Oryzias latipes: one gene and its partners. The main gene of each other region encodes a partner of the protein of the gene in region 4 in a complex. Links are inferred from orthologs where the notes say so. Each region holds a gene or a part of one and is shown on either strand. Other genes may lie near its edges.

Region 1 (4,324 bases), on a different chromosome or scaffold from region 4:
TAAAATAAGGTAATTTTGGAGCCGAAGTATTTTTATGGATACTTTATTTGGCGTCAGTTGGTTAAGCAAACTTGAGTATAAGTATAGAAAGTATAACAGCTTTTTATCATAGTGTAGGAGTATACTAACTGAGAATTTCCTCAGACTAAATTGGAACATTGTAAGTTTATAGATAGTATATAAAAAACTAAACTGCCTCACTTTTTGGATTGACTAAGTGCAATAAACTTAATTAGACTTCTTTTTGCCAAGGGATGGTCCATGATTGGAATTGGAATTGGTTTATTTCAAGCAATCAAAGCAAACAATGCTGAAGAAGACAAACATAACAAATATCTTTATATAGATGTATCAAAATTTGGATGATTAATTGCAACCACCTTCAGATAGATTTACCTACCCTCTGAAACCACATTTATAAGAAATGATCCATTTCCTCTAGGAATTGGGAATTTTTAATGGTGTACCTCAATTTCTTTACATGCATCGATCAAACCGTTACCCTAAGCAAAAAGTACCGCAGTTAAAGTATTTTTGTTAAATATACTTGAGTATAAGTATAGCAAGTATGATAGTCACGAGAGTTTGGAGTGTCATATTCCTCCAAGGCCCTAATATGCTATCATAGCATCAGTTCCGAATATCTATCTTGTCCTTTGATCTTATACATTATATGTTGAAGGCTTTTCCTGACACCTCTGCATTTGGAGGGCTTGGGACACGCCCTTTTAAAAAAATCAGTAATTAATTGTGGATTTTTTTTAATCGTGGTTGGGGGGGGGGGGGGGGGGGGGGGTTATTACAGCATTCTGTTGGACAGAGTCCCTGCCTGCCCCTACATGTACTTAAATACTTCTGAATACTAATAAATCTGAATATTTCTTCAGACTAGATTGGAACATTGTGTGTTTACAAAATATAGATCGTACATAAAAAGTAAATCGCTATTACATAAGAAATAAACTTTAAGTATACTGCCTCACTTTTACTTGTAGTACACTTAAATAGACTTCTTTTGGGTGTTGTGTAGCAGTAGCAGTATCTGAAAAAGCTGAAAACTTTGTTCTTGAGGAATCCGTGGGATTTTGGTGACACATTAACCTAACTTTTCCTTTCATCCACTGTCCGTTATTCTTAACTCGATTTAATCATCTAAAGATAAACCCTATCAGATCAGGCAAATAATATCTGGAAAAATAAACCGGAATCCTTCCTGGAAAAAAAAAGGAAGAAACATATCGGAAACGCATCATGCTTTGAGGAGCTCAATAATTTTCTCATCTGGTTGATCTACAACTTTTATCTCAGTGTCTCATTATTGTGGGTCACGGTGGGCGGGTTTTCCGCCTGCAGGGTTTGGTTGATTCTGTGAGCTATTGATTTGTTGCAGAGGAGGAGGAGGAGGAAGAGGAGGAGGCGGAGGAGAAAGCGAAAGGGGAGGAGTGGAGGAGAAATTGTGCTGAGGGAGGGATGCGGCCGTGCGTGCGGGACGGGAGAGGAGCGTGATTGCAATCACAGCAAAAAGAAGAAGAAAAAAAGTCCGACTGCCGAAGCTGGGGAGAGAGCGCACCGAGAAAGTCACGTGGGGAGCGGATCCTTTCGCGAAGAAAAGCTGGAAAAGTGGGACTTCTTCTGCCGGGACTTTTAGCTGCTCTCCGCCCCGCATTCCGCGGTGTTTTCATGCGCACCCGTGGAGGGGAGGACGGAGAGACAAGTGAGGGTGAAGAGACAGAAGAAGAAGAAGAAGAGGTGATCGGGCTTGAACGCCTCCCCTCTGCGCTCCGTGGAGGTCGGTCCACTCTCCCCTCCTGGCCCTGCATGGACGGGGATGGGGAGAGCCGGATGCCGTTGCCGCGGGGCTGAGCGCCTGGCTTCCCCGTCTATGGTGCGCCGTTTCCGGCCATCGCTGCTGCTGCTGCTGCTGCTGCTGGTTCTGTCCTACGGAACTTACATGGGTGAGGAACGTTTTCATTACTCCTCCAGATCATGTGTCACTAAAACCTCCACTTTCCCTGAGTTTTTGTCAATTCTTGAAGCGTTGGTTCCTGGCCTCACAAAGCCTCCCTCCAGAGCGGCAGTGCAGCATTCTCAGCCCGGATCGAGTTTCTCCTCCTCTCTCCTGGGCCGTCATTCTCCTGTCTGCCCCCTTAATGGCTCGTGGAGGAGGGGAAGAGGGCGACTGCCTCTCCTCTTGTCATAACAGATCTGTTCCATGCAAGCAAAAGTTGCCTGTTATTTAAACCAAAGTGAACTGAACTGAAATAATAGGCTAAAATGCACACAGGAAAGTATTAATATAGTTTAATATAAAAGGAGTTGTAAAGTCTCTTTGTCCTTTGGTGATGCTCATCATTTAAGAATTGATGACTGTAGAATAAAAAGTGACCTCTCCCTGCACATGCAGAGGTGTTGTGTGTTGTTCTGGCTGGTCGTTTTGTGTTGTGTAATCCAGAAGAGATCAGTTTTTGGGCTGTTTGTGAGCATTTAGGGGGTCAGCTGTCTTGTGGGCATTCACACCTCCTGTAATTAGTTTAACACAACCCTGAGCTCTAGGATAAATACACCCACCTCTGCACCACAGCCTGGCTTTAGGCTTTACAAATGCACCCAGGTCACAATTGGAGCCCACATGTGGAAAGAATGTGTTTATTTTGCTTGCATAAACACAAAATATTGTTGCTGTTTTTTTTGCAAGAAGTTTTAACAAATGCTATCATCTGTCAGCTCCATGCTGGTTTGGAGGGAAGGCAGGAGTGTCTGATTTACAGGCTATTGTTCGAAGGGGAGCTCCTGTCTCTAAGCTTAGATGGCTGTTTGTGTGATTTGAGCTCAAAATGTGAGAGCGCATACAGCAAGGTGATCAATAAGCACTTCACAAACCATTCCCCTGGCTGAGAGATGATCCCAGTAGATCTTTTTCTGATCTGAGGAGATCAGAGAACTTGGAGGCAGCCAGATTGGGAGACAAAGAAGCCCTAACAACCAAGCCGAGGAGATTGGGCTCGTGGATGTTTTGACCTCTGTCTGATGTTGGAGAAGGTTGCCTCGGGATGCAGGTGGGGGCGAGAAGGCTCAAAGGCAGACGGAGAGGCCTGGAGGCTGACAATAGGGTTTGTGTGTGTGGTGAGGGGAAGCTCTAAAGCAAAATCTCACAATAGAAGAGATGATCCAGATGTGAGAAGAGGGTTGAGTTTGAAAGGAAAGTTGATGTAATACGGAGCTGACTCCCATCCTGCCTTCACTGGTGACTTACTGTAGGACGATCTATTGCAGCTCCGGACACGAGTCACCACAAAAATGTTTTTTCTTAACTGATTTGCTCAGAAACAACAATTTATTCATTAAAAAATGCACAAATTATTTTTCTTTTCTTGAATGCGCCTCCAAAAAACCCTAAAGTTGCAGCCCAACTAAACTCAGACAGTTGTGGTTTTACTTGATACTCTCACAGGAAGGCTGGAATGCAGGGTCAGCCATGCAGCTCCACAATGGGAGCAGGTGTATACTTCAGTAGATTTGTGTTGTCAGCAGAGATCTCTCCTTCATCCAGAGGTCCTAGCCCAAGTTAAAGGATCACCTTTCTCTTGTTATATCACAGCAATATGCTAAAGTGTAGAAGTGTGTGTGTGTGTGTGCGTGTGTGTCTATGGCAGTTTCAAGATAGAGACATTATGGGTTTTCTGTGAGAAGTATTCAGAGACTGCAGGACGGATGGAGAAACGAGAGAAATCGCTGGTATTCCAGTCCGAAGACAAAATGTGTCCTCAGTGCTCAGGCAATGGTTGGTTGTCTATCTGTTGGTTGGTGTCAGTATTTAACAGTCAGGATAGAGATTCTAAGCCCTGGTGTGAGTGAGGGGGTCTCTACCTGCACCCGGATTTTTAAACTCAGAGCAGCACTGCCCCCAAATGGTGGCGCTCCCACTAGCCAAGAAGTCAAACACTTCTGTGCAACTTCATGGTTGGTGTGATACAGAGAGATTTTGTTGATTTTGCCTGTGCTTATGCTCCAATTAGGAAGTCGTACCACCATCTGAAGATGATGCGTTTAATGGAAGTGCATCCGTGGCGCATGTTTGTCATTGTGTGTGTGTGTGTGTGCGTGGAGCTTCTTGCGCACTGCAGAGCTTCCCTCTGTCTGGCTTAATCTAATAGGGGCATGCTGTGACTGATGCATTAGGTCTGGTCTCTAATCTTTCTACGGCTCTGACTCCCTCTTTCCCCCTGATGATACAAAAGGCTCATTTGACCCTCGTACTGTTCAGAAATGTGGAAACAGACACAAGATCACATACAATCATAGAGCAAGAAATTCCATTTGAATG
Region 2 (4,340 bases), on a different chromosome or scaffold from region 4:
TTAGCAGCATCTAGTGACTATAAGGGGAATTGCAACAAAATGCTGTTTAGAGCATCGCCTTTGGAGCATCCTGAGCTTTAGTGTGACCTACCTTCAGATCAACTGAAAGGGTTTCATCTGTGGGAGTTTTTATAATGCCGGATGTCAGTCTAAACTCTGCGTGTCACGATTTCTGCTCTGTTCAGACCAGTTTTTACCCTGTCTCCTTTTATACAGTTTATGTCAGACAGTGTGAATGTGCATGCAGAGCAGTTTGTTGCAGCATGTTGGGATGTAAAAAAAAAAAGCTCTGACCCCGCCCTCCAGACACATACGCAGAATATTACTGTAAAGAATGGTTAGAAACTGTGATGAGCAGCAGGAAGGCTGGGATGAACCTGCTATCACTCTGAAATGCTGCTTTACTGTTTGACAGGTTTACAAGGAGAATTACAGCATTGCAGTCTGAATAAAGCGAGCACTTACATCATAAAAAACATCTGCATTTGTCCTGTTCTTCATTATTTCACAGCTTGAAATCAAGAAAAACACTTGGGTTTTTAGCAGCTTTATAAACTAATTCACTTCAAATTTTACATTTACTAAATTCCATAAAATAATGTTGCTTTTTCGAGCATCAATATTTTGAACATTTAAAATGTTTAAAAAAAAATATATATATATATATATATATATATATATATATATATATATATATATATATATATATATATATATATATATATATATATATATATATATATATATAATACCAATCCAGCGTCTATGTTCTTATCTGTGACCAAACTCTTTTCAAAAAGTATTTACTCTTCCCTTTAATTTTTTTCTTTTTTTTGCAGACCTGTTGTTTCGCTACTAGCCACTAGATGGAGGCAGACTAAGCTTAAGTCAGAATTTCAAAGTAAAAGCCAGGACAGAGTAGTGATTGCAAAAACAGATGAAAGAAATTAGGCAAGAGTTCTCACTCTGACAGTAATATCAACTCAACCGGGAGGTTAGACGGAGACTTTATTACCTTTTTCAGTTTTTAAAAGAAGAAGGCACAAAGAATAGATACATTCAAACATGATTTTAGCGTGTGGTAATTTAAATACAGGATGTTATAAATAGTTATTATCCTCAAATTTCTAATAGACAAAAAAGTCACATGAACTGCATCCATGGGAAACGCAATGAAACAACGTAAACTATAGAATTGAATATAAATGTGGCGCACAAAAAGAAACGCTTACTGTATGTTGGCAGTATAGATTTATGATAAAAAACATCAATAATAGAGATTTATTCAGATGTAAATCTGTATTAAATTATTTACTAATTAAAAAGTCAGGTAACTGGAAAGGCTCATCCGGAAGTTTGACTGTCTCATTTGACGTTAGAGTGAGTAGTCTCGTTGCTCACAGACGATCTTCGAACAGGTTTGGGATTCACTGTCCTCGCCGTCAAACAGAGAAAACCGCAGAAGGAGCGAGTACTGAGGCGCATGGAGAGAACGGCAAAACCGCTGGAAAATACGTATCTGTATCCCGGAATACTATTCAGAGTTAGGATTTAAACAACAGATTTGTGCTGGAAAACGAGATGCGTCCCAAGGAGTAAATAAGGCACCCAGGAGGATAAGGTAAGGCGGATAAGATCCAACAAAACCCCGAACTTCACTCCCTGTAGTTGGACTTTTCAGCTCCGTCTATGTGCTGAATCACATAGCGAATAGAGCCTGGAAGAAAATAAATGTAAACTTGGTATTTATACATTATTTTATGAAGTAGTTATTAGATTATAAGTTCGGCATTGGGATATATTGTCAGTTGTTTGTGATACTGAAAAAAAAAATTCAAATAAAATGAACAGATTTCGTGAGTGGTTTGGCGCCAGGAAATAGTCGTATCCTGTTGGCAACGCTGTCGAAAAAGTTCCCAGTTGTTGAGCTTCGGCGAGATTATTAAATGTTTTGCAGAAAAGAGGCTATGATGAAGCCCATCAGTATGTAAGCAGGCATTGTTGATCCCAGATAAGTGAATAAAATCTGCGGGAGAGTTTATCTGGATCATCTTTGCCGCAGTTTGTTCACCGAGATGTCGCTTGTTAGCCGCATTCCTCGGTTAGCTAACTCCGCAAATATCACTTATTTGTAATAAAACAGTTTTTACGGTTAGAAAAAACGTGTTACCGATAATTTTGATCAATTTTGCCCGTTTGTCCGTGAGTTCGTTTGTCTGTAGTCAACTATGTGTGAAAGTTAGAGAAAGTTGAGCTAAGTTTCTCGTTAGCATGTGGGGCTATAACACGCAGAGAGAAGGTCTAGTTTCTGCTGGTTTTCTCTGTTTACCTGAAATTATTGCTTCTCGTGCACGCGCTACCCGGAGCCACCTGTGGCGCGCTCGTTTTGTAGCTTGTTGTGTGTTTGTGTCGGAGACTGCCAAACATATTTAGCCTCCAGCATCAGCCCCGGAACACAAACTCTGATTGTTTTTTTTTTTTTTAATTATGTTTTGGTGTTAGTGCAATGTTTCTCCAAACTCCAAAACCCCACATTCAGTTTAGCGAAAATTCGCAAACTTTCCTGGTTAAGCCTTCGTTGAGTTTGTTGACATTTTTGGAAAAACCTCGAATGTATTCCACTCGGGGCTTTCTTTTTTGCCATACTTGGGACCAGTATTGTTGAAGTAAAACTTTTTTTTTTTTTCTTATTGTCAACATGTTTTGGTCGTTATGTTTGTTGCCTTCTTAATACCTGGATTGTTCAGGTTTTTTTAATCTCCAGACAAATCTGGCCTATACCTTTTAAAATTGATTTTAAGTTGATTGATTTCTGTGGTTTAGGGTTTCAGACAGAACGGCTCCCTCTTGTCCTCAGGGGCTGTTCTTGGTTCAGACCTGTTTATTTTCCATTTAAAGTCATCTTTATTTTATGTGATGGTCTTTAATATGTTTGATTATTTCATCCTATCAAACTGATTGCCTAATCAGTGAAATAATGTGCAGTTTTGAGCAATTAGTTTTGTGTTGGAGTAAAATCCTAACCCAACTGAACCACGATTAGCTTTCTTTTTTAACTGAAACTAGTTGGTTCTTAGATCAGAGCAGTTTCTGTCCTAAAAGCTTGACGTATGCTCCTTCAGTTCAGTTTTTTTTAAAAGTCCAATCATCATTGACTCTATTGTAAAAGTGTTCCTAGTGGTCTTTTAATTATAAATATGCCGTTTTAAGCCAATCAAAAAACAACCTTTGTTGTTTTTTAGGACATAGTTTCTGCTGAGCGGCAGTACTTCATCGGCTTTTGGTGCAGACTAGTAAGCTTGTCTGTGCTTCCCGTCATTCATCTGTTTACACAATCTCCCTTAAACTTGTGCAACAAAAATGAGGAGCAATATTGGAATCATCCAGATGTTCAGTTTTGAGCCACATACGAGCTCAGACCAGGGAAATTAAGTACTTGGATCTATTTATGTCCTCCGTCATGAGAAAAATGCCACAAGAACATGTTAAAAACACCAAAAACATTATTTTTATCAGAGTGGGTCTTCAGAACATTCTATGATTATAATCTATAAAGTGATAATACAAATAAATAACAATTCTTACTTGACTAATTATTACTTGAAGAAGACACTTTAATATGGTTGTGTAAAACAAATTGAAAATGGCTGTTTTAATCACATTTTAAAGCTTTTAAGAGACAGAATCCTTTAAATGTGATTGTAAAAGATAGATTAGTGACATCATGACAGAGACACACTACTTCCCAAAAGAGCAGTGGGTGTTTTATAAATCTGGCAGGTTTTTTTTGTTTTGTTTTTACTCTCTATTGTCGTTGGCCACTTTTTCCGTAGTCAGATAGAATATGATTATTTTGTTGTGGTGTCTTACAGGGGGTTGAGCTTGGTCCAGCTTTTTTGTAGTTTTTGGGTCTACGTTTGTTCAGCATCATAGGCAGATGTCATGCCTGTATCTATGTTTTTTGCTAAGATTAGTGTGTTTCTGTCAGAATCTTGGAATTGTTGTTAAGTACAAGTCTTTTTTTATTTTTGCCATTGAGTCCTTCATGTGTGATGTTGGATTATAGCCGTTTCACTGAAACTGCAGGTCTTAACTGTTTGTTGAATGAATGGTGCTGATTCAAACATTTTTGTTTTTTTAAAACAAGAGCCAACTTTTTTTTTGCAGATAAATCGCTGAGTGTATGTGTTGACATACCCTAGTTACGTTAACACATCAATCTGAGATTCTGAGTTGAAATATAAATATTTGTTTGGATTTCATATTGTCATAAAATATGATTTTTGTTGTTTCACTTTAAGGGCTGAAAGTTGATGTTAAATGTAAAGCCTCAAATTTTA
Region 3 (4,428 bases), on a different chromosome or scaffold from region 4:
AATAAAATAGAATTGAATTGAGGATCATTTACAGGTGGAGGTCGATGCTCATTTTCATTTTTACTTGTTCTGTGATAAACCCAGAGAAAGAAAGAAGACTCACCTCTGCAGATTCTGTTCGTTCTGCTGCATGGTCCTCCAGCACCGGGTCTGGGTCAGTACCACCCCTCCCGCCTCACTTTGCCCCCTCCCTCCCCAAACACTAACAAAGGCTCTGAGGGCTGCTCAGTGAGGCGGAGAGGGGCCCTGCTGCAGGCTGGAAGGGCAACTGCTCATCTGTACACACATGTATTTGCACCCACACACACACATTTACACACACACACATACACACACACACACACACATGCACACACACATGCACACACTCATACATGTACACACATACATACATGTACACACATACATGCACACACACATACAGTTACACACACATCCACACATACACATGTACACAAAAATGCACACACACACACACGTACACACACCCATGCACACACACACATGCACACACATATGTACACACACACACACACATACATGTACACACACACATGTACACACACACACACATGCACACATACAGTCATGTACACACACATGCACACACACATACATGTACACACACACACACACATGCAGATATAAGCTGAGGAAAGCTTCTCAAGCATCAGGCTTTCTGTTTGAAGCAGGTGATGCTAGAACAATCAGAAGTTTCTCTTCTGGAGAGTCTGAAACTAGTTGAAGAAGCCAGAAAGAGAGTTTATGGCGCCCCCTGCTGTCTGTCCCCTTAAACCACATGACTTCCAATGGTTCCTACCCCACAAGTCAGACAATTTTTCTGCATATTATCAGCGTCTGCTCTGGTCACAAAGTCCGGTTAGACTATTTAGGGACATCCCAGCAAGGTCGGGGGTGGGGGACTTGATGCTTTTTGTCATATGGCCATGGGGGTGGCATGCCCCCTGCAGCATGGTGTGGGGGGACCCCCCCAAGTAGCTCCTCTGACATAGTTGATGCTCTCCAGCAGATGTCGGTGAAATTGCCCCACAGTCTGGGCTAGTGGTTGTTGGGGGGGGGGGGGGGGGGGGGGGGGCTTGTGATCACACACACATACAAATTGAAAATGATGCTTCTGATTTTGGCGATTTTATTGATGTATATTTTGGGGAACTATGCATTTGAAACTGTTTTAAATGTTATACGAGTTATGTTAATTTTATGTCATTTTTTTAATGCAATTTAACGCTATATATGTACATTTTTACTCTGTTTTACTCATTTTATTTTAAGTCTCTAGGTGGCTGGCCATGGTCAGAATGGGACAGAGGATGGAAATTAGCCTAGGCTACAATCCTGCATATTTACAGTGTGTCTTTACCTTTAGAGTATTCTACAATGTTTGTTGTATGCATTGTCCCTTAAATAAATAAATACAAATACAAAATACAAATGATGATCATGATTTTATGAATTAAATCTATTTTGCTTTAAATTGTTTGCATCGCCTTCAGGAAAGTAATAAATCAAAGTGGAACCAAAGTTCCAGGTCATAAATAGATTTCTGCGTCTGAAATAAAAATAACCACGTGTGTACGCGTGTGTGTGTGTTGTGTGTGTAAGTGGACAGTTGTTGTGCAGCAGGTAGTTCTCTGGGATTTATTTAGAAGAGCCTGAAGCTCCCCGACAGCTGTGAACAGGAACCAGACCGGAGCCTGCAGAGTCCTGGACAGACCACAAGAAACTTCAGGCAGAAACGTGGAGTTTCCGGCAGGTTCTGGAGCCTCGGGGGGATTTTCCCAAACCACACTGATGACCTCTGATCACAAATCAGCCGAGGTAAGACTGACTTGACAGAAGAAGGCTGCAGAGTCAGACAGCAGAAAATTAAGCTTTTAATTTTCTTGTTCTTCAGCTCAAACATCTATCACATGCAGATCATGTTTGGTGACCTCTAACCTCCAGCTCAGCTTCCTGACAATAGCTGACAGGGTGATTGGAGTCTCATTATTAACTCATTAAACTTTTGGTTTCTAAACTCTTATCATCTGGGTCGGTCTTGAAGGAGGAACCTGAACAGAAGCAGCTTTTTTTTCTATGATAGAAAGTTCTTTTTCTGTCCTGAACAGATCTCTTATCAATAATCAGTTTAGGTTGACCCTTAAAATCTACTTTTTATCTTTCTCTTTTAAACCTGGACCGATTACTTAACTTATTGTTTTATTATTGATTAGTGAAAGCTTAAAGCTTCAGTCACATGGAGCCATGTGGGGTGGGGGGCTGACCCACTCTGGTTCTGTGGGTTGTGGTTGTCCGGGTCCATGGAGAGTCATAGAGAGGAGCGGCTGCATCTCAAGGAGAGCTCAGGTGTGTCTGCAGGTTCTTTAAGACTCATACAACCACCTTAAGAGACGTCAAAAAAATGGGACGTACCATTGTCGTGCGTGTGGTAAGTGTATTATGGTAAAGGACAATGGAAAGTTACTCACACTTATAATGTACGGGTGACGCTGTCATATGGCGTCCTTATGCCACGCTCTATTCCTTAGCAAGGTGTGACTATCGCCTCCTTACTGACTGCAGAGAAATGCCTCATGCACGGAGCGTGCACGGGGTACATAGGTTTTAGAGATTCCTATATATATTCTCATGTATTTATCCACATCAATAACTCAATTAAGCTTCAAGCACAAAGTCTTGTGCAACTTTATAAAAATCTAGATGCATCAACATATGCATCAGTTTTTTTTAATGCATCAACAAGAAAGTTAACAACTAACATGTAACTTTGGTTTGTTATTCATTCATCTTCTTCCGTTTTGTTCCTTTCGGGGTCAAAGGGCTGCTGGAGCCTATCCTTATGGGCGACGGCAGGGGGCACCCTGAACAGGTCGCCAGTCTGTCACAGGGTCACATATCACACATCCATTTACACTTACACTCACACTGGACAATTTAGAGTTTCCAATTGACCTATGAAGCCTGTTTTTGGACGATGGGAGGAAGCTGGAGACCCCAAAGAAAACCCACGCATGCACGTTGATTTGTTATATCTTTAAATAAAAATAAAAAAGAATACATTTAGCATTATTCCCACCTTCGCTTGCAGTTTCAATCATCGTTATGTATAGAACAAAATCCCAGACATTCTTTCAGTATATTTAGACACAAATATCCGTGAAACGATGCGTTTATTTATAGCTGTGTGTGATGAAGCTCCGAGGGCAAGTGCAGTTTAAATTTAGCCTCCACGCCCTCAACACACCCAGGTTTGTCTGCCAAACCATGTTTCACAGACCACTGACTTTATTAAAGAATACACAAATACTTAAATAAATGCCTATCTGGAGGTTGAAGCACATTTTAAAAGTGTGAACTGGTTAAAGTTCACAGGCCGCCCCACTGATATACAACGTTGCTACTAGATTAGTGAATTTATGAATCTGAAAAACCAAAACATGACAAATTGGGATCAAATTAGGTAAGACTGGAAAAGAGAGTGTCAGTCAAATAAAAGAGATATGAATCAAGATTACATAATAAGTTGTTAAACTTAAAACCATAATTATTGTAGCACTTGTTGTCAGAGTAATAATAATAATAATGGATTAGATTTATCTGCGCTTTTCCAGTCGCTCAAAGCGCTTACAATGTGTCCATTATTCATTCACTCCTCATGTATACTTGGTGATGGTAGAGGCATGGCTGCCAGTTCACGCTTATGGTCCCTCTGACCATCACCAGGACATTCATACACATTCACACACCAGTGGAGCCACACTAGAGGCAAGGAGGGTGAAGTGTCTTGCCCAAGGACACAACAACACTTGACCAGGGGGAGCGGGGATCGAACCAGCGACCCTTCGATCATTGGACGACCTGCTCAACCTCCTGAGCCACTGAGCGCAAACATTTAAGCACAAATTTATGGAAAATTATTTTTAAATCATCTGGTTTTTACTTATAACAAAAAGTAAAGATTTTTTAAGTTTGGACGTTTTACTAACTTTAGCTAACGAAAATTATATTTTCTTTTTGAACTAAACCTTTGTCCCCATTGAGATCAATGGTCCTACTACAATGGTCGGTAAAGTAATAAAGGTCCCTGCAAGGTTACAAAACGAGTAAAACTATTTCCTTTACATGTGGGTGAATTATTTGAAGTCCTATTTATTTTTAAAAAACATAATCAAAGACTTTGTTTATGTTCACCGATATTCAAAGTAACAGTATTTGTTCAAAATAAGAACACATGTAAACACACTTTCTCGCGTTTACTTACTCATGGGGTCATAATTATGAAGAGATGTTTCAGGTCTTGATCACAACCCCTGATTCCAACCCCATCCAACCATAAAAAAAGCCTTAGTGGACCTCACAATTCAACACAAACAAAGCTCCACCCACCTACCAGAGCTCAGCTGTGCT
Region 4 (4,350 bases):
GTTAAAGTGCCTAGGATAGCACAAGGGTTAAAGTTGCGTTCACACCGAATGCGATTCGTGTGTCAATGTTAAGTCAATTCATTCTGTCCTGCGGCGCCATTTAAATGATGGGCGCAGTGCAGGTAGCAGCTCGATTTGAGCGACCCAGTGCGGCCACAGTTATTTGAACTTTGCCACGGTCGCTGCGTCGGGCTGTTCATATTTGGGACATGGGTGACTAGTTATTCAGAAACTCGTCCACATGGAGGAGATAAAAAAAAAAAAAAATGAGACAATAATCTTTTTTTTCTATCAATGACATCCCACTGGGTAAGTTAGCTGTCTAAATTGTCTTCATGATCCTTCTAAGCTCAGTAAACTACTCACTTTTTGGAGTTTTTGATCATTTTAGTCTACTGGGTTTGATAAAGAAGTAGTGTTTTTCCCCAAGTTTTATTATAATTGAGTTTTGAGGATAACAAAAATCTTTGAACATTTCAAACCAATTTAGTACCTGCTGCACCATCCTGACACTTATATTGGCGTCCCAACAGATGCCAAAAGAGTGGTGGCTCTCAGACTGATACCAGCAACAACAGACAGTTTACAGGCTCAACAAAAGGCCACCTGGTTGAAGAGGCATGGTCATCCTTTATTGACCTCAAGCCTGTTAGTATACAAGCCTACAGTGTTTCTCAGGATTACAGTATACCATTATGAAGAACAGAAGTTATATTCAGGGCCTCAAGACTATATCGTGGATTAATTATTTTTCATGTATTTCTTATATTTTGCTTTCTTATATAGATGATTGGTTTCACTTTTATGCTGCCAGTTGTTTTGCTTATGATTTACTTTCATTTATCATTCTTTGTATGATTTGGCGGAGTCGAGACCCTATCGGTCCTTGGACAAACAGCGTGTTGGTCAGGCACACCCTGAAAACCTGCTTTACTCCAGAATTAACTAATTCACGTTTATGGAGATCGTCCAAACGGGCAAAGATTAATAATGTGTCAAAGAGCGCGTGTTGTTTAGTTGTTGCTGGTGTTAAAGGTTAAAACTGTATAATAAATAAAAAAGTAAATGCTGGTTATAAAACAGTTCATGTTCACGCTATGTTGACTTCGGCTAATAGTTTTTAATATTAAAACGTGTATCTGTTAAACATAAAACCCCTGCTGATACAAGAAAGCATTGGGTTAGATGTGCGCCTCTGCATTTATATAGTATCCCTGTTTGGTTTGTCTAAATGAAAAAGTGTCACAGATTTCTTTATTTTGGTTAAACACATGTTGAGTGGTGAGGTGAGATTTAATTAGAGATTAAATATTTGCATTGGAAGATATTAGAAGGTTTTCTTTTATTAAAAGGAAAAATGGGAGAAAAAACAGACATTTATGAATTTAACCCAAGATTATTAGGTTGTGTTAATTTGACCTTTTAACTTGGTTAATCTAACAATTTAATACTTGGGTTGATTAGAGTAACCCAAAATTGTGGGTTAAAAATAACCCATCAAATAGTGCTTTTTAACCCTGAAGTTAGGTTAAAATAACCCAAGTTTGGTTATTTTAATCCAACCACTGAGTTTTTAGTGTGCTGCAGCATCACTGTTTCCGAAAACCCTGAAAACAATGTGGACCAAAGCAGTTTCCTCCGTGTGTTCATAGTGAGAGGACAGATTCTGCACCAGTTCAGTGAGTCACAGGTGGAAAAAAGAAGTAGGAAGATGTGTGGAGAAACACTGCTGTTTAATGGGTTTAGACGTCATGACGTCATGCAGTAATTAAAACTGTTTTCTGGAATTCCTGCGCCGCTCAGGTTCGCTGGAGGATTTGCAGCACCTGCACCTTAGTGTGGGAGTGCAGTGTTTTCACTGGACGGAGTTCAGACTCCGGAGAGAGAGGGGAAGGGGCGCGCGAGCTTTCTCTGGGAAACCGCGGGTTTATTAGAGCTTTCTTACGAGCTCTCCAGCAGAACAGCTCCGCGCGCTCGCAGCATCTCCTCTGTCACGGCCAGGACCCCGCCAGCATTATGGTTGCTCCACATGACAGATGGCACTTTGCAGATCTTCAGGAATCCTCCCAACGCGCGCTTAAAGCTCCCCCGTCTCATGTTTAAGCTTTGGCTGCCTCGCTCTGTTTTTTTTATTCTGATTTACAAAGAAAAAAAGCTTTTGGTTGATTTCTCTCCTGACAGCTCAGACTCAGAGCAGAGGACCACCGGGAGGAGATAGACTGCGCGCAGTTCTGTCTGAAGTACAAACGTCAGCGCACTGCAGAGTGACACAGCTTTACTTACGATGACGGTTTGCCTCGAGGCACAAAGGATTTAGGATGAAAGTTGTGAGGCATCTTTCTTTTCTGTTCAGCTGCTGGACTCTCCTTTACCCGCATCCCGTCCTTGCTTCACGCAGCTGGACCACGCAAAAGGAGCGCGAGCATCGCCAGCTTGGAGAGGCAAGACGGCAGACAGAAGCACGCGAAGTTGGTCAGTTACTAAAAAAAGTTCCCGGTGCGTGGAATCCCTCCGCGCGCATCCCCGCTGGTCCGCCGCCGCTCAAAGGCGAGACTTCTGTTGATAGAAACAAACCGTCCTCCTCGCGGTCATCCGTGTACTCATCCGCCAAACATCTGCCGAAGCTGCAGGATAAGGTGGACAACTCAGCGCGCAAAGGGGTTTCGCGCTCCTGGGTGTCCCCAACGGACGCGCACGTCAAGGTCCATGCTCCCGCAACTGTTAACGCTTACGCAGCAGTGAAAGAAACCCCAACTGTTGGGGGTAAAGCCTCAGCTGGCAAGAAAATGGAGAGAGTTGCTTCAAAGGCAAGCGCGGCTGCTGCTGCTGCACGCGCGGCTTCCCCTCACCAAACCGGCGGCGCGCAGAGGAGGCTGCCTCCGGCGGCGCAGCGCAGCAGCAGCAGCCAGAATCCGAGGCTTCAGCACAGACAACCGCTGGTGACCCCTCACGACTACATGCTGTCGCTGTACTGGTCTCTATCCAGCGGGGGACTGAACAGCAGCGCGCTGCACGAGGCGGCTCTGGCCAACACCATCACCAGTGTCGTGGACAGAGGTCAAGGTAAACACCACCCTGCAGTTTACTTTTGAATACAAGTGCATTAATGACACCCAACCCTCCACTAATGCACGTTCTTGTCACTCATTTAACTAGATAAAAAAAATTATGTGTTTTTTTTTATACCAAGAATATTATTCCGATGCGTGAACTGAGTCCAGAAGCACATCCTCGGCATTTTCCAATACATTCTGCCTGCTTTTGTGATCTGGAACGGCTGAACCGGTGGTGCTGACTGATCAGTGAGAGGATGTAGGGAGCTCTGAAGAGCAGGGAGCAGAGGAAGCTGAAGGAGGAACACAAAGGGGGGCTGCTATGTGTGGAGTGAGCTGTAAGTAGGGTTCCAGCGGAGGGCTCCACTGAACATTAATTTCGTTAATCGTTATAATAATCGTTATACGTTAAACGTTAACCCCAAATTGTTCATAATAAAAAACAAAAACAATAAAGCGTGTGCAATCACACAATCAACCAATACATCTCTCATAAATATATAAAAAATCATGAAATTGTAAAAAACCTGCACACAGATTTTAAACTAGCCATTATATTATTATATATATCATTTTACTTTAAAAACCTGTTCATTATTTTAAAAACTGTTTTAAAATATTCATTTTCAATCATGTTTAATATTATTATAATTCCATGACTTGTGACTAACTCGGATTTCAATATCAATATTTTCCAAAGTAGCTTTGTTTTTATTTCGCATTGCTGTTTTTCAGAATGACTTATTTCTTTCTATATGAGCTTTTTCAGCAGAATGAGTCTGTCTGCCAATCAAACCAAACAAGGCGGAGACACTTTTGTGATTGGCTATTTCTTTACTCAGACATAAGCAGCAGCACCTTAACTACATCGATTGAAGTTGCTTCAGCGAACGTGACGGTGCAATGCCCACCCCTCAACACTAGGTGGGAGTATGCAACTCTACACATCATTTACAGTAGCCGCGGTTACATGGGCAAAATATCTTTATCGGATCAATGGTCGGATTACAATTCAACCGTGCACATGGGCACAGAAAACCTTTTTCCGATTAGAACAAACGTGTACATGGGTCACACTTTCGGTCAGAATAAATCATTTGGGCATGCGCAGTAGTGTTGAAAATACAGTAAGCGGAAATGAGTCCCGTTGTAAACAAACTGCTGCCACATACATTTTATGCAGATGCTCGGTAATATACTAGACGATCTTCCAAACGTGCTTTTATTAATATAATGAATATTATGAAGCGCCTCTTCGCTCATCATTTTATTTTTAATCCGTCTGTTCGTTGCTTTT
Region 5 (4,282 bases), on a different chromosome or scaffold from region 4:
AAACGTCTATGACGAGGCTGCCTTACTAAAAAAAACAAAAAACAGATTTAAATATGACAACTGAAAGGTAACTCCTAGACCTCCTGCTTTGGTTTTGTTTGTCTGATTTCAACGTCCTGCATGTCACCAGGTGACGGCGAGTCCCTTCAAGCTGCAGTTTCTGAGCGGCTCTGCTCACTCCAGACATCACAAGACTGTTTCACAACCCCCCCCCCCAAGCCACAGCACAACCGGCTCTGCACAAACACCGCACCACAGATGGTTAATGGATGCTGACATAACACCAGGAAGCTGCAGTTCCTTCGCATCTCTCCATAAAACGGGTTTTGAGCACATTTGCACAACAAACAGGCGAGTCGTAAAGTTAGCCCCCAAGCCTCTTTTTGTAATTACAGACAATTACGGCTAATCATTGGGCTTTATCAGATCTGAAAATTAGAAACGAGGAACATTTTGTTTGTGCACAACAATAAAACCATGCAGGGGGCCTGTTTGGAGGCTTTACCTGTCAGGGATATTTCAGAGCATCATGGGAGGTCTGGCTGCAGCAGCACATCCCATGCATTCACACTTCCAAATACAGATACCGATCTCAGCGGATTTAGTCGTTTGCATTTCTCATCTCGGAACAAAAGGACTGGTTTGCATGCAAAGCAGCAAACTTCCAGCACTTAACAGTAAAACATCCCCGCAGTTAAAGCCAGATGACGGCCTTAAAGTGAAACGAGCGCCCAGGTCCATGACCGGACCTTAAAGATGGTAATGAAGAGGCCATGCAGGCTCACAGACAGGCCAACACCTTCACCGCGCTTCCTGGAGGGACCTGAGCTGGGTGGCACCCTTAACGCAAACAAACCGCAGCTTCCCATGAGGGAGGAAAGAATGACACGGAGGGAGCCGTGCTGGAGAGCCAGGCAGGCAGGCGTCCCAAAGGAAGCCTGTCATAAATCCTAGAACCAGCAGAAGGTCTGACAACAGATCAGCCTGGACAAAATCCACGTCTACGCTGAGGAAAACTTCCAGACGACTCCTGGCTTATCCAAAGAATGCATCTGCATTCTTCCCCAACAGATGCCATCTTTGTTCTGGGCTCCAGATCCGCATCTCGCCCAGGCAGACTCAATCTGGACGTTGGCAGCTGAAGCTCGCGTGTTTACGGCTGTTTGATCAGCCTCGTGTCTGGATGAACGACAGTCTGCTTCATGCAGGAGGAAGAGCTTACCTGGATGAGACATTTGCTGACGTCGCTGGCGCAGAGGGCTTTGTTGCAGCCAGAGGTCAGAGACAGTCCTGACAGGACGAAGAGCAGAGCAGCAGTGGCGGGGAGGATCAGCTGAGCAGGCCTCATCCTGAAGGCTCACCAGCACGGATCTGGAAACACCTACAGCAACACAAAGAGGACACAAAAAGTCTGAGCTTCTGCTTCACTTCAGGAACTTTAAACTCGGAAAGGCGGTTCTGGCATCCATGAGGTGGACTTTCTATAGGAGCTCTTCAAAAGATGTAAATGTATTGTCCTGAAGGAGACAGAAGTCACTCAGAGCCATCAGTGCCACACTCACATCTGGCAACATCAGCTCAGTTGGCCCGTTTCTTAGCGCACGTGCGGCGCCTGAACGCGCTGTGCGCCCTAGCGGCTCCGCTATTACACCCAACATTCTGTTTCTCTTCTCACGAAAGAAGGAAAAAAGCGTGAGGAACATGAGCTCCCTCATTCCCGAGCGCCTTTCTTTACCTCTTTTCTCTCCCCCCTTCGCTTCACTCCAAACTTTCTCTGAAACGCACGCAACTGCGACAGGAGCGCGCGCGGAGGAGCGAGGAGTTAGGAACGTTTTTACTTCGACTCACCTCACGGCGCTGTAGGAAGTCGTGTGCTTCTCTTCTGGGAGAAGGACCGCGTCTGTTTGCTCTTTGAACTTCTCCAGGATGGTTTGGTGCCGCCGCGCAGTGTCCACTGTGTCCAGAGGGCGTCAGTCTGCGCGCAGCACAAAGCGACAGGCAGTCGGGCGCCTTAAAGGCGCAGACTCCATTTTCTGGAGAATGTCTGCGGAGGCAAAAGCCGGGCCTGAGGCCACACCGACACCAGCTGAAGGTACCGGGGGAGACCGAGAGGAGGGGCCCGCCAGGCCGCCTCAAAGGATTCAGAAAGTGTGCGTAAAAGTGCGCAAACCCCCAAACTTTTCCCAGGTCAGACGGGCTCTGCTGCTCTGCGCGAGCCTTCTCCGTCCACCCCCGCCTCATTAGAGAGCCCTTTGTCTCCCCTCCAATCAGCGGGCTTTGAGGGAGCGCTCTTCAGGTGAGAAGTGTCCGGCTCCCCCCGGAGGCGCGACTCCATGAGGGCCTCTGGGGCCCCGAGCTGGAGCCCCACAAGGGCTGACATCTGCGGGTGCACAGCCTCCAGAGGGGCAAGAGACACCGGAGTAGGTCAGATTTTTAAAAAATAATCTTTTCCTGCTGCTCTAAGGGGACAACACGAGCCAAAGGTCAGCGCGCGACGCGTTCTGACCGAGTTTCTTCCGTTTTTACGCCTTTTCTGCTTCAACAGAAACAGAAAGCTGAACTGATGACCTGAGAGGCGCACGTGGAGCGCGTGACAGTGGAGTCACGTGGTTCATCCCTTTATAAAGTCTCGGATCCTCATTTTCTGACCAAATAAAAAAAACTCTCAAACGGACTGTAAAAAACAAAAATCAGTAAGAATGGTGTGTTTCCCAGATTATGATTGAATTTAGACTAAACCTGAAACAAGAGACAATGAAATATGTTCAATTTGAGTGGATTTAATGTTAAACAAGTCGGAATCTTTTTCATTCGTTCATTCATTCTTTGATGTTAAGTTTTGATGAATGATTTGTATTAAATCAGAAAAGTAAGTCAAAGTTTGTGGAATCTTTAACGGAACTATAGCAGAAGTTTCTGCAATTTGTAATTAAGTAAATTTCCACAGAGAGAAACTGACAAAGTACTTCACAAAGTCAAAACAAGATTAAACTAAATGACTATTAAGCCTTTTGTTGTTTATGGTGTTTTATTTAAATTAAAGCCATTTGGTGTTTTATTATCATCTTTTTATTCTGTTATTCTATTCCGATAGTCGAACCTCAGTTTAAGGAACAAGGGTGGGGTTTCCGTCCTGGTCGTGGAACAGTGGACCAGCTCTACACCCTCTTTAGGGTGCTGGAGGGAGTTGGCTCATGCGTTCGACCCCCGTGGTATCCTGTGGGGGGTGCTCTGGGAGTATGGGGTCCAGGGAGCCTCACTGAGGGCTGTCCAGTCTCTGTATGACCGGAGCAAGAGTTTGGTTCACATAGGCTCACATGGCAGCAAGTCAGACTTGTTCCCAGTGCACGTTGGACTCCGGCTGGGCTGCCCTTCATCACCGGTTCTGTTCAGTTTTTGTGGACAGAATTTCTAGGCGCAGCCAGGGGCCGGAGGGGGTCTGGTGTGGGGACCACAGGATTTCCTTTCTGCTCTTTGCAGATATTTTATTCTGTTCCATTCCAAAATAATCGTGATCTCCATTTCCTTTAACATGAACTGAGTTTGTTTATTCTTGAATGACTGAAAAAAAAAAAAAAAGATTTCCCACAATGCACTGGGGATTCCATCTCACTGCACACCAACCCTCACCATGGTAATTACACCCTCCCAAATGTTCCCCGTTGGCTGCCAGAACGTTAGGAGCTTTTCCTCTTCAAGTTTCACCTTCAAAGTTTCTCCTAAACAAACTCCTGCAGTCCATTTCTAACTTCCTGCAGCGCCCTCTGGTGGCCGATTACAATTCTGCACCGCGCAAAAGGACCAGAAGGCAACACAGACATGAATTTCACAACAAATAAAATTTATTCAATTATATATTACAAATATATACAAGTAATGTAACAAGTAAATATTAAAATAGACATTTTTTAGAACTATCGTTCAAAAGGCATTATGTTGAAAAAATAGGATTTGTTGTGATTTCACATTTAAACTGTAAAAGTATTTGTCTTTTTTTTCCTCAGAAGCCACAACAGACTTGAATGTGTGCAAGACACGATGGACAACACAGGAGGCCGCAGAAGAGACAGAACACCATGTCTGAAAGGAAAACAAAAGGAGGAACTCAAAGAGAAAAGCTGGAACACTTTAGTAAACTTCACAAATAAGTAACCACAGTACAGCTTGTTTAGGGAAAAAGTACAGACATTGCAATGCATGCACAGCATTTAATTGCCAGAGTCAAAAACGTTTACCAGCTGTGGCGTGGAGCTCCAGATGAGGAAGGAACGGTTGAAAGAAA

The links.
Region 1: the proteins of gdf5 (region 4) and rgmb are in contact, whole or in part, in a crystal structure (PDB 6Z3J), measured with the Homo sapiens proteins. The link is inferred for Oryzias latipes from reciprocal best matches to the Homo sapiens genes GDF5 and RGMB. Residues at the interface, in NP_000548.2 of Homo sapiens: Leu396, Arg399, Phe435, Pro436, Leu437, Arg438, Ser439, Asn445, Val448, Ile449, Leu452, Ser455, Met456; in NP_001353437.1 of Homo sapiens: Gln57, Thr60, Phe63, Val64, Thr67, Ser68, Leu70, Asn71, Tyr88, Leu103, Val104, Ser107, Ala108, Leu110, Gly111, Ile112, Asp114, Leu115, Gln118.
Region 2: the proteins of gdf5 (region 4) and bone morphogenetic protein receptor type-1A are in contact, whole or in part, in a crystal structure (PDB 3QB4), measured with the Homo sapiens proteins. The link is inferred for Oryzias latipes from reciprocal best matches to the Homo sapiens genes GDF5 and BMPR1A. Residues at the interface, in NP_000548.2 of Homo sapiens: Arg399, Phe435, Pro436, Leu437, Ser439, His440, Glu442, Pro443, Asn445, Val448, Ile449, Leu452, Ser455, Met456, Pro458; in NP_001393490.1 of Homo sapiens: Gly65, His66, Cys67, Pro68, Ile77, Thr78, Phe83, Ile85, Glu87, Cys100, Met101, Lys102, Glu104, Gly105, Phe108, Gln109, Asp112, Ser113, Lys115, Ala116, Gln117, Arg120, Ile122.
Region 3: the proteins of gdf5 (region 4) and hemojuvelin are in contact, whole or in part, in a crystal structure (PDB 6Z3L), measured with the Homo sapiens proteins. The link is inferred for Oryzias latipes from reciprocal best matches to the Homo sapiens genes GDF5 and HJV. Residues at the interface, in NP_000548.2 of Homo sapiens: Met412, Trp414, Trp417, Phe478, Asp480, Ser481, Lys488, Tyr490, Met493; in NP_001366281.1 of Homo sapiens: Arg95, Arg98, Gly99, Leu101, His104, Ser105, His108.
Region 5: the proteins of gdf5 (region 4) and twsg1 are in contact, whole or in part, in a crystal structure (PDB 8BWL), measured with the Homo sapiens proteins. The link is inferred for Oryzias latipes from reciprocal best matches to the Homo sapiens genes GDF5 and TWSG1. Residues at the interface, in NP_000548.2 of Homo sapiens: Glu434, Phe435, Pro436, Ser439, His440, Glu442, Asn445, Val448, Ile449, Leu452, Ser455; in NP_065699.1 of Homo sapiens: Cys26, Lys28, Cys31, Ala32, Ser33, Val35, Ser36, Leu39, Ile40, Cys44, Gln45, Cys46, Arg47, Cys73, Val74.

Annotation. Positions count from the first base shown.
Region 1 is NC_019867.2:13,671,735-13,676,058, forward strand, and holds the start of rgmb (RGM domain family member B), read left to right. Parts: upstream 1-1,424; 5' UTR 1,425-1,828; coding exon 1,829-1,955; intron 1,956-4,324. UniProt on the Homo sapiens protein: Member of the repulsive guidance molecule (RGM) family that contributes to the patterning of the developing nervous system. Acts as a bone morphogenetic protein (BMP) coreceptor that potentiates BMP signaling. Promotes neuronal adhesion.
Region 2 is NC_019873.2:12,328,533-12,332,872, reverse strand, and holds the start of bone morphogenetic protein receptor type-1A, read left to right. Parts: upstream 1-1,410; 5' UTR 1,411-1,621; intron 1,622-4,340. UniProt on the Homo sapiens protein: On ligand binding, forms a receptor complex consisting of two type II and two type I transmembrane serine/threonine kinases.
Region 3 is NC_019874.2:31,654,393-31,658,820, reverse strand, and holds the start of hemojuvelin, read left to right. Parts: upstream 1-1,584; 5' UTR 1,585-1,839; intron 1,840-4,428. UniProt on the Homo sapiens protein: Acts as a bone morphogenetic protein (BMP) coreceptor. Through enhancement of BMP signaling regulates hepcidin (HAMP) expression and regulates iron homeostasis.
Region 4 is NC_019863.2:6,129,135-6,133,484, reverse strand, and holds the start of gdf5 (growth/differentiation factor 5), read left to right. Parts: upstream 1-1,510; 5' UTR 1,511-2,318; coding exon 2,319-3,063; intron 3,064-4,350. UniProt on the Homo sapiens protein: Growth factor involved in bone and cartilage formation. During cartilage development regulates differentiation of chondrogenic tissue through two pathways.
Region 5 is NC_019875.2:4,775,472-4,779,753, reverse strand, and holds the start of twsg1 (twisted gastrulation protein homolog 1), read right to left. Parts: upstream 2,807-4,282; 5' UTR 1,849-2,806; intron 1,382-1,848; 5' UTR 1,349-1,381; coding exon 1,223-1,348; intron 1-1,222. UniProt on the Homo sapiens protein: May be involved in dorsoventral axis formation. Seems to antagonize BMP signaling by forming ternary complexes with CHRD and BMPs, thereby preventing BMPs from binding to their receptors.